Rattus norvegicus: one gene and its partners. The protein of the gene in region 2 interacts with the protein of the main gene of each other region in a biochemical or structural test. Links are inferred from orthologs where the notes say so. Each region holds a gene or a part of one and is shown on either strand. Other genes may lie near its edges.

The links.
Region 1: of the proteins of Uba1 (region 2) and Ube2e2, one has a biochemical effect on the other in vitro, tested with the Homo sapiens proteins (4 studies listed by BioGRID, with this or other methods). The link is inferred for Rattus norvegicus from reciprocal best matches to the Homo sapiens genes UBA1 and UBE2E2.
Region 3: of the proteins of Uba1 (region 2) and Ube2b, one has a biochemical effect on the other in vitro, tested with the Homo sapiens proteins (10 studies listed by BioGRID, with this or other methods). The link is inferred for Rattus norvegicus from reciprocal best matches to the Homo sapiens genes UBA1 and UBE2B.

Annotation. Positions count from the first base shown.
Region 1 is NC_086033.1:9,628,086-9,631,743, reverse strand, and holds part of Ube2e2 (ubiquitin-conjugating enzyme E2 E2), read right to left. Parts: intron 475-3,658; coding exon 342-474; intron 1-341.
Region 2 is NC_086039.1:4,067,179-4,070,836, forward strand, and holds part of Uba1 (ubiquitin-like modifier-activating enzyme 1), read right to left. Parts: intron 2,155-3,658; coding exon 1,989-2,154; intron 1,751-1,988; coding exon 1,554-1,750; intron 1-1,553. UniProt on the Homo sapiens protein: Catalyzes the first step in ubiquitin conjugation to mark cellular proteins for degradation through the ubiquitin-proteasome system.
Region 3 is NC_086028.1:36,748,790-36,751,487, reverse strand, and holds the end of Ube2b (ubiquitin-conjugating enzyme E2 B), read left to right. Parts: intron 1-458; coding exon 459-587; 3' UTR 588-2,123; downstream 2,124-2,698. UniProt on the Homo sapiens protein: E2 ubiquitin-conjugating enzyme that accepts ubiquitin from the ubiquitin-activating enzyme E1 and transfers it to a E3 ubiquitin-protein ligase. In vitro catalyzes 'Lys-11'-, as well as 'Lys-48'- and 'Lys-63'-linked polyubiquitination.

The DNA of each region.
Region 1 (3,658 bases), on a different chromosome or scaffold from region 2:
CCTTTCCCCACAGTCTGCCTTTGCAGCCTGACCCTGGAGTAATTCCACTTTCCTATTTACACAGACATGGTGAAAACATGGTATTCTCTATAATATTATTCTGTAATATTACTTGTATATGCAGAAAAGAGATAATGAGAAAGAGCAATGAAACCCATGTAAAGTTAAGATAGAGGAACGACGTACGGTTTCTCACGTCTCGTTTCCTTTTAAGCACAGTGGGTACGGGGAAGCAGCCTACGCCAACAGAGCAGATGTGCATATATATAGATATATACATATGTTCAGTATATACATATCACAACACAGAATGTTAAAAACGGGCAATGCATCATACTGACCTTAGGGGGTTTAAACGGATAGTCTGGTGAAAAGGTAATGTCAAGAAAGAACACCCCTCCTTCATAGACAGATCCTGGGGGTCCCAATATAGTTGACCTCCATTCATAAATGTTGTCTCCTTTGGGTCCAGCACTGAAATAAGACACACAAATGAGATGTGCTTAGAAATTACATAAAGTTTGGAATTAAAAAAATATATGGTAATAATAAATTGAGCCATTTCATAAAACATAATAAAGTCAACACATTAATTTTATCTATCATATTGTTCCTGTCAACATCATCATCCTATAAATACAACATGCTGGTATTATGTAATCCAGCAGATCCGAAGGTCCTGCTCGCAACCCAAACGCTATGGAAGACGTCTCCGAGGACACTGGCCTTGCCTGAATGTGGGATTATGTGTGAAGACCTGAGAGGGGTGACACAGCTCTGGGTCAATAGCAGAGAATTTCCAAGTGAGAAAGGGTAATGCAAAGTGGCTGGCCCAAACCCTCTAAGCACTGAGAGCACAGACTGTCCCTGACAGACACCAGGGAACAGCCACCATTCTGAAGACCCAGCCATTTGGAACCTCTTCCCCCTACTACCCCATATCCTAGATAAGACATGTTATTTTATGATTGTATTTTATAACTTCTTCTCTGTTCCTCCCTAGAATAAACATTTCTTGAGGAATAGATTTTAGCTACTAACTAACTACACATTTGTTGGCAATGACAGGCTAATGGCTGGGCAGGTCATATGACTGTGAATGGCCAACATACACCCATGTCTCCAGCAAATTCACTAAGAAGAATAAAGCCGAGTGTGAATGGTGCTAATTCTTCCCAGTGAGCATCAGGGCCACAGTATGACTTTAATTTAGCTCTTGGCACTGGGGGCCTAGCTCAGTGGTACAGGGTTTGCTCAGTGTTTCTGATCTTTAAAGCTCCTCATGGGCAGGGGAAACCCAAAATAACTGGAGGTTTCCCAGGGTTCTTTTTGTTTTATCAGGTTATTAACTATGATGATATCCTAACAGAGTGGACAACATCATGAATGCTTGGGAAAGAGTTTACTCAAAAGTCACTGTAACAAAATTGATCATAACCAAGATAAGACTACACAATGATACCATTTTAAATGTAACTCGCCTCACTAAGCAATCAAAGTAGAAGGGAAAAAGTTATCCTCACAGGTTACAGAAGGCTTTCTGCCCTTTCTCCCTCCACTTTTCTTCTTCCAGAATCCCTTCCCTTCTCTTCCATGCAAAAGTAAAACCTTTACAGTATCTATAAACTGAGAAATGATATTTAGACCATGGAAAGCTGACCAAATCTTAGGGCCCAATCATAAATTCATATCAATCAACAGGGAAAAGATTAATAATCCATCAGAAAGACACCAGCAGACATTTCTAAAAGGTAGAAATAAAATTTAAAATATTTAGTTTCATCAAAATCGGGAAAATAACAATTCAACTGGTAAATATAAATGCGTAACAAGCAAAATGGAGTGGTGCACGGTGAGTCCGACGTCTACACACTGCAGATAAACACGCTCAAATGTGCTGGAGCACAGCGCTCTTCAGTCGGGAAGGAGGGAAAGTCTGGGCTTTGTAGCATCTTGGGTGGACCTGGAAGGTGCTGAGCTCAGCAAAGTCAGGTCTAGAACAACAAGTGCTGTGTGATCTCACAGTGTTAAGTAAAGCACTGGTCTCAGAGGGAGAGTGAAACAGTGGCTTTGAGTAGGAACAGAGTAGGAAAAGAGGCTGGTTAGTGGGTATGAGCCAGGTAGATAAGGACTTAAATGGACGTGATCCCAGGTAGATAAGGACTTAAATGGACGTGATCTCAGGTAGATAAGACTTAAATGGACGTGATCCTAGAGTAGATAAGGACTTAAATGGATGTGATCCCAGAGTATGTGGCCTGGTGAGATGGCTCAGTTGGTAAAGTTGCCTGCTGTCATACCTAATGTCATGAATTTGGTTTCCCAGGAAGTATACACTGGAGAGAACCCACTCCTGCAATGTGTTCTCTGACCTTCATATGTACACTAGGACATGTATATAAACACACACGTACACATCCATGTACACAAAATAAACACAAATGTAATATGGGAAAAGCATATTAAAAGGGCTATAGAATGCTATGTAAAACGAGCAGTTCTGTGATCTACTGCGTGTTAAAAACTGATCCAGTGTCCTTCCCAGCTGTAAAGTTTATGAACTATAACAATAACCAGCATTGGCAAGATGCCCCCCAAGGGTACAATAGTGGCACTTACATGTCTTAATTAACAGCCATTTAGAGAGACTTAAGGCCGCCTCTGTTGTAGGGAGTTCATGCCTGGTACCATAAACCCAGCCAACTACCCATGGCTGCCGAGATCCCGGACCATGGCTACCACAACGGCAGCCTCCTTAACCAGTGCAGTTCCCAGCTGTATTCTAAACACCGATCCTGATGCCCACAAGTAAGTGTCGCTTTCATCTCTCCCACTGAAGCTTCCTTTTGTAGCAGTTGGAGACAACTGCAGACATCCTCATTTAGTCCTAAGATAGAGAACAACTGCATTTGGAGACAACTGCAGACATCCACATTTAGTCCTAGATAGAGAACAACTGCATTTGGAGACAACTGCAGACATCCACATTTAGTCCTAGATAGAGAACAACTGCATTTGGAGACAACTGCAGACATCCACATTTAGTCCTAGATAGAGAACAACTGCATTTGGAGACAACTGCAGACATCCACATTTAGTCCTAGATAGAGAACAACTGCATTTGGAGACAACTGCAGACATCCACATTTAGTCCTAGATAGAGAACAACTGCATTTGGAGACAACTGCAGACATCCACATTTAGTCCTAGATAGAGAACAACTGCATTTGGAGACAACTGCAGACATCCACATTTAGTCCTAAGGTAGAGAACAACTGCATTTGGAGACAACTGCAGACATCCACATTTAGTCCTAGATAGAGAACAACTGCATTTGGAGACAACTGCAGACATCCACATTTAGTCCTAAGGTAGAGAACAACTGATTTTTGGATGCCCCAATCCAACTGATACACCCATAACACAACCCCTACACTTAAGGCTCAGGAACACCACAGAAAGGGGGATAGAAAGAGGCCCAGGATGCCTGTTGTTAGTAGGGTCTACTACATGAGACAGGGAAGCCACATCCACTAAATATGAAGAAAAATATGGTTGACTAAACAAGAGCTGTACAATGACAACATGAGCTGACACACACATGTGGGTGGGGTAATCTCACAAGGCTCCTGTACTGGCTGGTTTTGTGTGTTAATTT
Region 2 (3,658 bases):
AGGCACAAATAAGTTCAAGGTTACACATGCCCCAGTGAGACTGGTGGGCACACAAAATTGACACAGGTACTTTGGACTAGCAGGATCAGAAGGGGGCATGTGATAGATAGGATTGGTCTTTTTCCACCCCTCTATTCCTACTATTCATCCTGAACGTGTTGGACTCCAGCACTAAACTTAAGAATTCTTCTGAGAGGGGTTGGGGATTTAGCTCAGTGGTACAGCGCTTGCCTAGGAAGCACAAGGCCCTGGGTTCAGTCCCCAGCTCTGAAAAAAAAGAACCAAAAAAAAAAAAAAAGAATTCTTCTGAGAAAACTACTATCCTTGTGGCCTAGGTACTTATCACATAGATATGGTAAATTCATAACATTTTAGCTTCATGATATGCAGCACTGTTCCATGTGTATCATATATAGAATATCATTGTGACATGCTAGCATCAAATTTGTTTTGCAGGATAGATGGGGAAACCTAAATATCATGTGCTAGAGACAAATAACTAGGAGAGGGAAAGAACTATTTTGTTTAGCATGAAAATAGTGCTTTGGAGCCATGCACGGTAGCTAGCACATCCCAGTACTCCAGAAATGAACTCAGAAGGATCAGTTCAAGGTCAACCTCACCTACACAGCAAGTATTAAGTCTAAAAGTATGGAATAGGTTATTTTTTTACAAAGATTTTTATATATACATGCTATGTTTATAGGTGCCCACAGAGGTCAGAAAAAGGTATTGGATCCCCTGAAACTGCAATTATAGACAGTTGTGAGCTACCACATAGGTGTTAGAAAATGAACCTGAATCTTCCATAAGAATAGCAAGTGCTCTCTAACCACCAAACCATCTCTTCAGCCCCACTTTAAAAATTATGTGTATGGGTATTCTGCATGTATGTTAGTGCTTCACATGCATGAAGTACCCATGCAGGGCAATGGATCCCTTGGAGCTGGAGGGAACACCACTGTCGTTGTGAATGGCCATGTGGGTGCTCGGAATCTCAGGTCTTCTGGAAAAGCAGCCATTGCTCTTAACTGCTGAGCTACCTCTAAGTTGTTATGGATGGTTTTACTTATATCTAATGAGTAGAAGTCAAAAATCCACCTGCCTCTGCCACTTCAGTGCTGAGATTAAAGGTATATGCTAACCCTACCCAGCATGTCAATATAAGAAACATGGCAAAACACTGTTAAACTCAGATAAGGAATGATATTTCAGCATTCACCAATCTTTCCTTTGTTTTTATTTGTTTTTCTCAGATAAGGTCTTATTTTGTAGTCCAAGTGGCCTTGACCTCATAGCAATCCTCTTGCCTTAGCCTTTCAACTACTGATGAGCCAAGATATTTTTACCTCTCTACATAATTGGGAAAAAAACCCTCAAAAGTAGGAATCACAAGAAGAGTAAGTCTTTTCAGAAATGCTAAACTTTCCAGGTGGAAAGAAAGGTGCTAAAAGAAAACACATTTTATGCTTAGGCCTGTAAATAAATACCAGGAAGCCAAAGGCTTGGTAAACTCAGTCTGCCCTCTTTCCTTTCCCCTAAGCACCACTCACCTGTAGAGTGTGTTCGATGGCATTGGGAAAGTTTTTCAGGGTACAAATGGGGATGGATTTCTCTGGTGGGTCCTGGCTAGAGCTGTATGATTCTGTCAGGAAGGGGATCACCACCTGCACATTGCCCTTTGTGCCCAGTGTGCCAGACTCTAGCAGTGGCTTCCGATAGTACACACAGCGGCGATCCATGTACATCCCTGTATGATGGGGTTGGGGACAAGGATGTGAGAGTCTTGAGACAAGGAAAGGCATATTGGGAAAGAACAAGAAAACCCAAATTCGGGGCTGGGGATTTAGCTCAGTGGTAGAGCGCTTACCTAGGAAGCGCAAGACCCTGGGTTCGGTCCCCAGCTCCGGAAAAAAAGAACCAAAAAAAAAAAAAAAAAAAAACCCAAATTCTCACTCTTGCCTTCTTTACCAGCCTTCAGAACTTACGGGCATCTACATTGTCCAGTGCATTGGCCACACCATCCAAATTTTGGAAAAAATCATCATCATAGATGCGCTCCGTGTCAGGGCCTACACGGTTCTGGTGGCTTGTCACCTGGATGTAAGGATTCATCTGTCGCACAGCTGCAGCGGCCGTGTCAGACTTTAACTTCTGTGAAATGAGGAGATGCATTTGAGGGTAGAACGTGGATGTATTCACTCAACATCAAAGAGAACTGTCCCCCTGAGCATTCATCTAATGCTAGAAGAACCAGGCCCTGAGTTCAGGAGGCTCCCTGGCTTAGCAAAATATTCTAAATAATGCTACATGGCCAGGGCTGAAATGGAAAAGATGGTGACAATGAGATGGAAAAGAAAGCAGAAGACAGGACAGTATTGTGGACAATGGACTAGCCACCTGGTTTTTAGCCTACTGTTCTTTTAGAGAGTAGCACTGCAAGTTAGATTTCCCCAAACAGAATCAGATGGTTCAACAACAAATAAGTGTAAGTGTTATGAAAGCAAAGTCAGGTCATATCCCTCCTATGCTTAGAACCTTTCCCTGGCTCTTATCCCCACTTAGGGTAAAGTGAACTGCTGCCCAGGACTTCTCAGAGTGGAAATGATACCTTCCTTAAGGAGCAGAATGAAATCAGCAAACTACCCCACTCCCAAGGGCAACTTACTCCTTTACCCTTTGCCAAGTGCCAACATTGACCCTGTATGTTACTGTTATATTTTATCTATACGGTTTCTTCATTGTTTTGAGACAGGTTCTATCTATGTAGCTCTGTCATGGAAATTACTATGTAGACCAGATTGGCCTCAAACTCTGCCTGCCTCTGCCTCCTGGGTGTATCAATAATGTATCTGGGGCTGGAGAGAGGGCTCAGCGGTTAAGAGCACCCGGTTACTCTTCCAGAGGTCCTGAGTTCAATTCCCAGCAACCACATGGTGACTCACCATCTGTAAAGAGATCCGATGTCCTCTTCTGGTGTATCTGAAGACAGTTACAGTGTACTTATATATAATAAATGAATAAATCTTAAAAAAAATAATGTATCTGTCCTTATTTTTTACCTTCCTCGGTTAGAACCTTTTTTCGTTTTCATTTTTATTTTTTGAGACAGGGTTTCCTTGTAGACCTGGCTGTCCTTGAACTCAGATCTATTTGCCTCTCAAGCACTGAAAAGAAAGATATGAACCCTGTCTTGCCTTATTTTATTCTTTATTATAGCTCAAGGATCTAAAACCCTAACTCCTAAAGTTACTATTCAGTGAGTAACAAATACTGGCTTACAGAAAGCCTCATATGGTACCGCAGCTTCAAACTCAAGAGTCACTTGGCTGACTACAATGTCATCCTTCAGAGGCCTGTTTCTAAAAGTGGCCCTGGGCTGGAGTCTAGGAACTTAGATTTTAGGGAAAGTCCTCATCACTACCCCACCTAATACTAATGGCTCAGTGTGCTAGAACTGTTTGTGTGAACAGTGTAGTTTGTTTAAGCACCTTCTTTCCCTCTAGATTCAGGAATTCTGACACACAACCAAATCCCAGTAAATGTCCTAGTTACAGATGAACAGGCTTCTCTAGCTAGAAACTTTTCAGGAGAATTATTATATTTGTTACCGGGTAAATCCACCTTCTGCAACCCCACTGGGAGATAACTCTTAAAA
Region 3 (2,698 bases), on a different chromosome or scaffold from region 2:
CGTGGGTCTGGGAGGTGGGCAGTGCTGGCACACACCTTTAATCCTAGCTATAGGAAAGCAGAGGCAGACGGATCTCTGTTTGAGGGCAGCCAGGGCTGCACAGAAAAAAACGTGTCTTAGAAAACTGAGAGATGGCGGGATACTAGCACTAAAAAATAAATGAAATGAAATGACTAAGGTGTTTAACAGGTGTTAAAGTTTAACGAGAGTTAGCTGCTCATTCCGTGGCAAGGAAGTTGTTATATGCTGATGAGTGTTGTCAGCTGATTTCCTTGAAATGGGAAGTCTTAAGGGAACTCGGAATTGTTTTGGAAGCTTATGCCCTTTAGCCACAGGAACCTGCTTCATGCCACTTCAGAAGGTTTTGCGATTCTGTTCTGTGTAATTTTTTTGTCCTCATCTGAGTCCTGTTAATATAGCATATAACTGAGCAGCATTTTCTTCTCTCTGTCTTCTAGTCTCTGTTGGATGAGCCGAATCCAAACAGTCCGGCCAATAGCCAAGCAGCACAGCTTTATCAGGAAAACAAACGGGAGTATGAGAAGAGGGTTTCGGCCATTGTTGAGCAGAGCTGGAATGACTCATAATAGACACCTGGTCTGTCCACCTTTCCATCGTCGTTGTGTATAATTTACCTCCCAGTAGGAAGGCTAGCAAGTTTTAAGTGCCACGGGTTTTAAGGATTCTGCAGAGAAAAAAGAAAAAGTCCTTCAGTTTAGAACCTACAAAAGCTTGTGTATCTTGATTAATGTACTTTTTATTGCATGGTGTGAACTAAGTTATTGCTGCATAAATTTGTAATATATCCTGTTTGTATTTTTTTCCAAGTGTATAATGTTGGTGTGGAGTTTTCATGACAGAATATACACATTTTGTAAATCTGTACTTTTTTCAAATATTGAATGCCTTATTTTTGAATTCTTTAGATTTTTAAATTGGAGAAAAGCACTTAAAGTTTTTTATATATGAATATTACATGTAAAGCTGTTAAAATACATAACTTCAGTGCAAGAGACTTTGTCACTTATTTCCTTACCTGTGCAGGAGGGACTGCCAAGTCTCTGCTCTTCGCCAGGTGAGAGCCTCATTTCCAACTGCAGAAGGTCACTCTTCTGTTTTATCAAGAAAGTCTGCAAATTTGATTCTAAAACCTATTCTGATCTCCGGCTTTATTTTGAATGTACTTATGTTAGTTCAGTTGAGTAACTATAGACTTACTGGTCTGGTTCTGTCCAGCTCTGTATTTGGGCCACTTGTTAATGTGCGTTTCTCATGTAAACTGTACCTTTTGTGACTTCACAATTGGCACCTCGTCCTCGAGCAGAGCTGACTTACTCTGCTGCGTGGCAGCACCTCCACAGGCTTTTGATTAAGAAGAAAGTAAAACCATCACCATTCACCAAATGCCGTGCCGCGGTGTTAGCAGTGGCCAGGTGCGCTGGTTTGAGCAAGGCAGAGGTTTGGAAGGAATCTCGGTGTAACTTGAATATTTGCAAACTACCTTTTAATGCGGCTGCGCGCTACCTGTTTATTCCGGAACTGTTGAGCACCAGGGCCTGCCGAGTTGCTTCTCACCTCCTCAGTTGTATTCAAGTTGTACTGCCTCTTAGTTTACTGGGTAGACTTAAAACACAGTATTGTAGAAAGCTAAGACGAAGCTATCCTATGCCTTCAAGTAGTATAGAAAATGGAAAATATACAAGTAAATTCTGTTGAACCTCTTGTGTAGTCTCTGTAGTAGTTGAAACAGCTATTGCAGTGAGCCCGAGTTTCTTGTCATCCATACCACCCTCCTAGAGACATGCTCTGGTGGCCTCTCCGCTGGAACATTGGGTTGCAGAGTGACCATGTCTTCTGTTTACAAGCAAAGTTTAAACCTGGGATGGATAAGAACTGATACTTTCCTTTAGGAGTTGTTATCCCAAGGGGTTCATGAGTTACTGGTATGTGCTGTTTCTGCAAGACCCCAATCTCCGTTCCCAGTTCCCACTTCAGACAGTTCACAGTTGCTCATAACTCCAGCTCCCCGGGGATCCAAAGCTTCTCACTAAATCAGACACTGGCATTCACATAAACAGACACTACATAATTAAAATAAAAGTATTAATTTATTAAGCTTAGAATGGTGGCACCTAACCTGCTTATATCCTTGGGAAGTTGTGGGGATCGTGGTTCTAAGCCTGGTACACATAGTGAGTTCTAGGCCACTTGGGGGACATGGTGAGACATGTGATGCTTCTGCCATTTATTTAGCTCCACAGCTTCCTTCCGGGGACTTGGACAGTAAATAAGCGGTACCTGGGAGAGGGGCTCAGCTATTTCACTAAACAACATCCTGGGTGTGTCAGCACCATATTCATTCTTAGCTATTTTCCTCATCCATTTGACAACAAACATTTCAAGTACGTACTTGATAAACAGCTAAAAGAGTTGTCAGATGGTGGACCGGCTGTTAAGTTTTGCTACCTCTCTGGCCCATCTGACTTGGAGAAAGCCCTTAGAAACATTCTATTAGTCACTCCTGTTTTGTGTTCGGTAGCGGACCAGATCTAAATTTTTACCATGCAGAAGTATCCGTTTTTTGTTCTGGATACATTTGTACAGTGAGAAGCTAGAACTAAGCAAGGCATCGAGGTCGAGATAAATGCGCGGGATTTAGATGTATGTGCTTGAGATGCATTTTCTTGGTCAGCCTGGC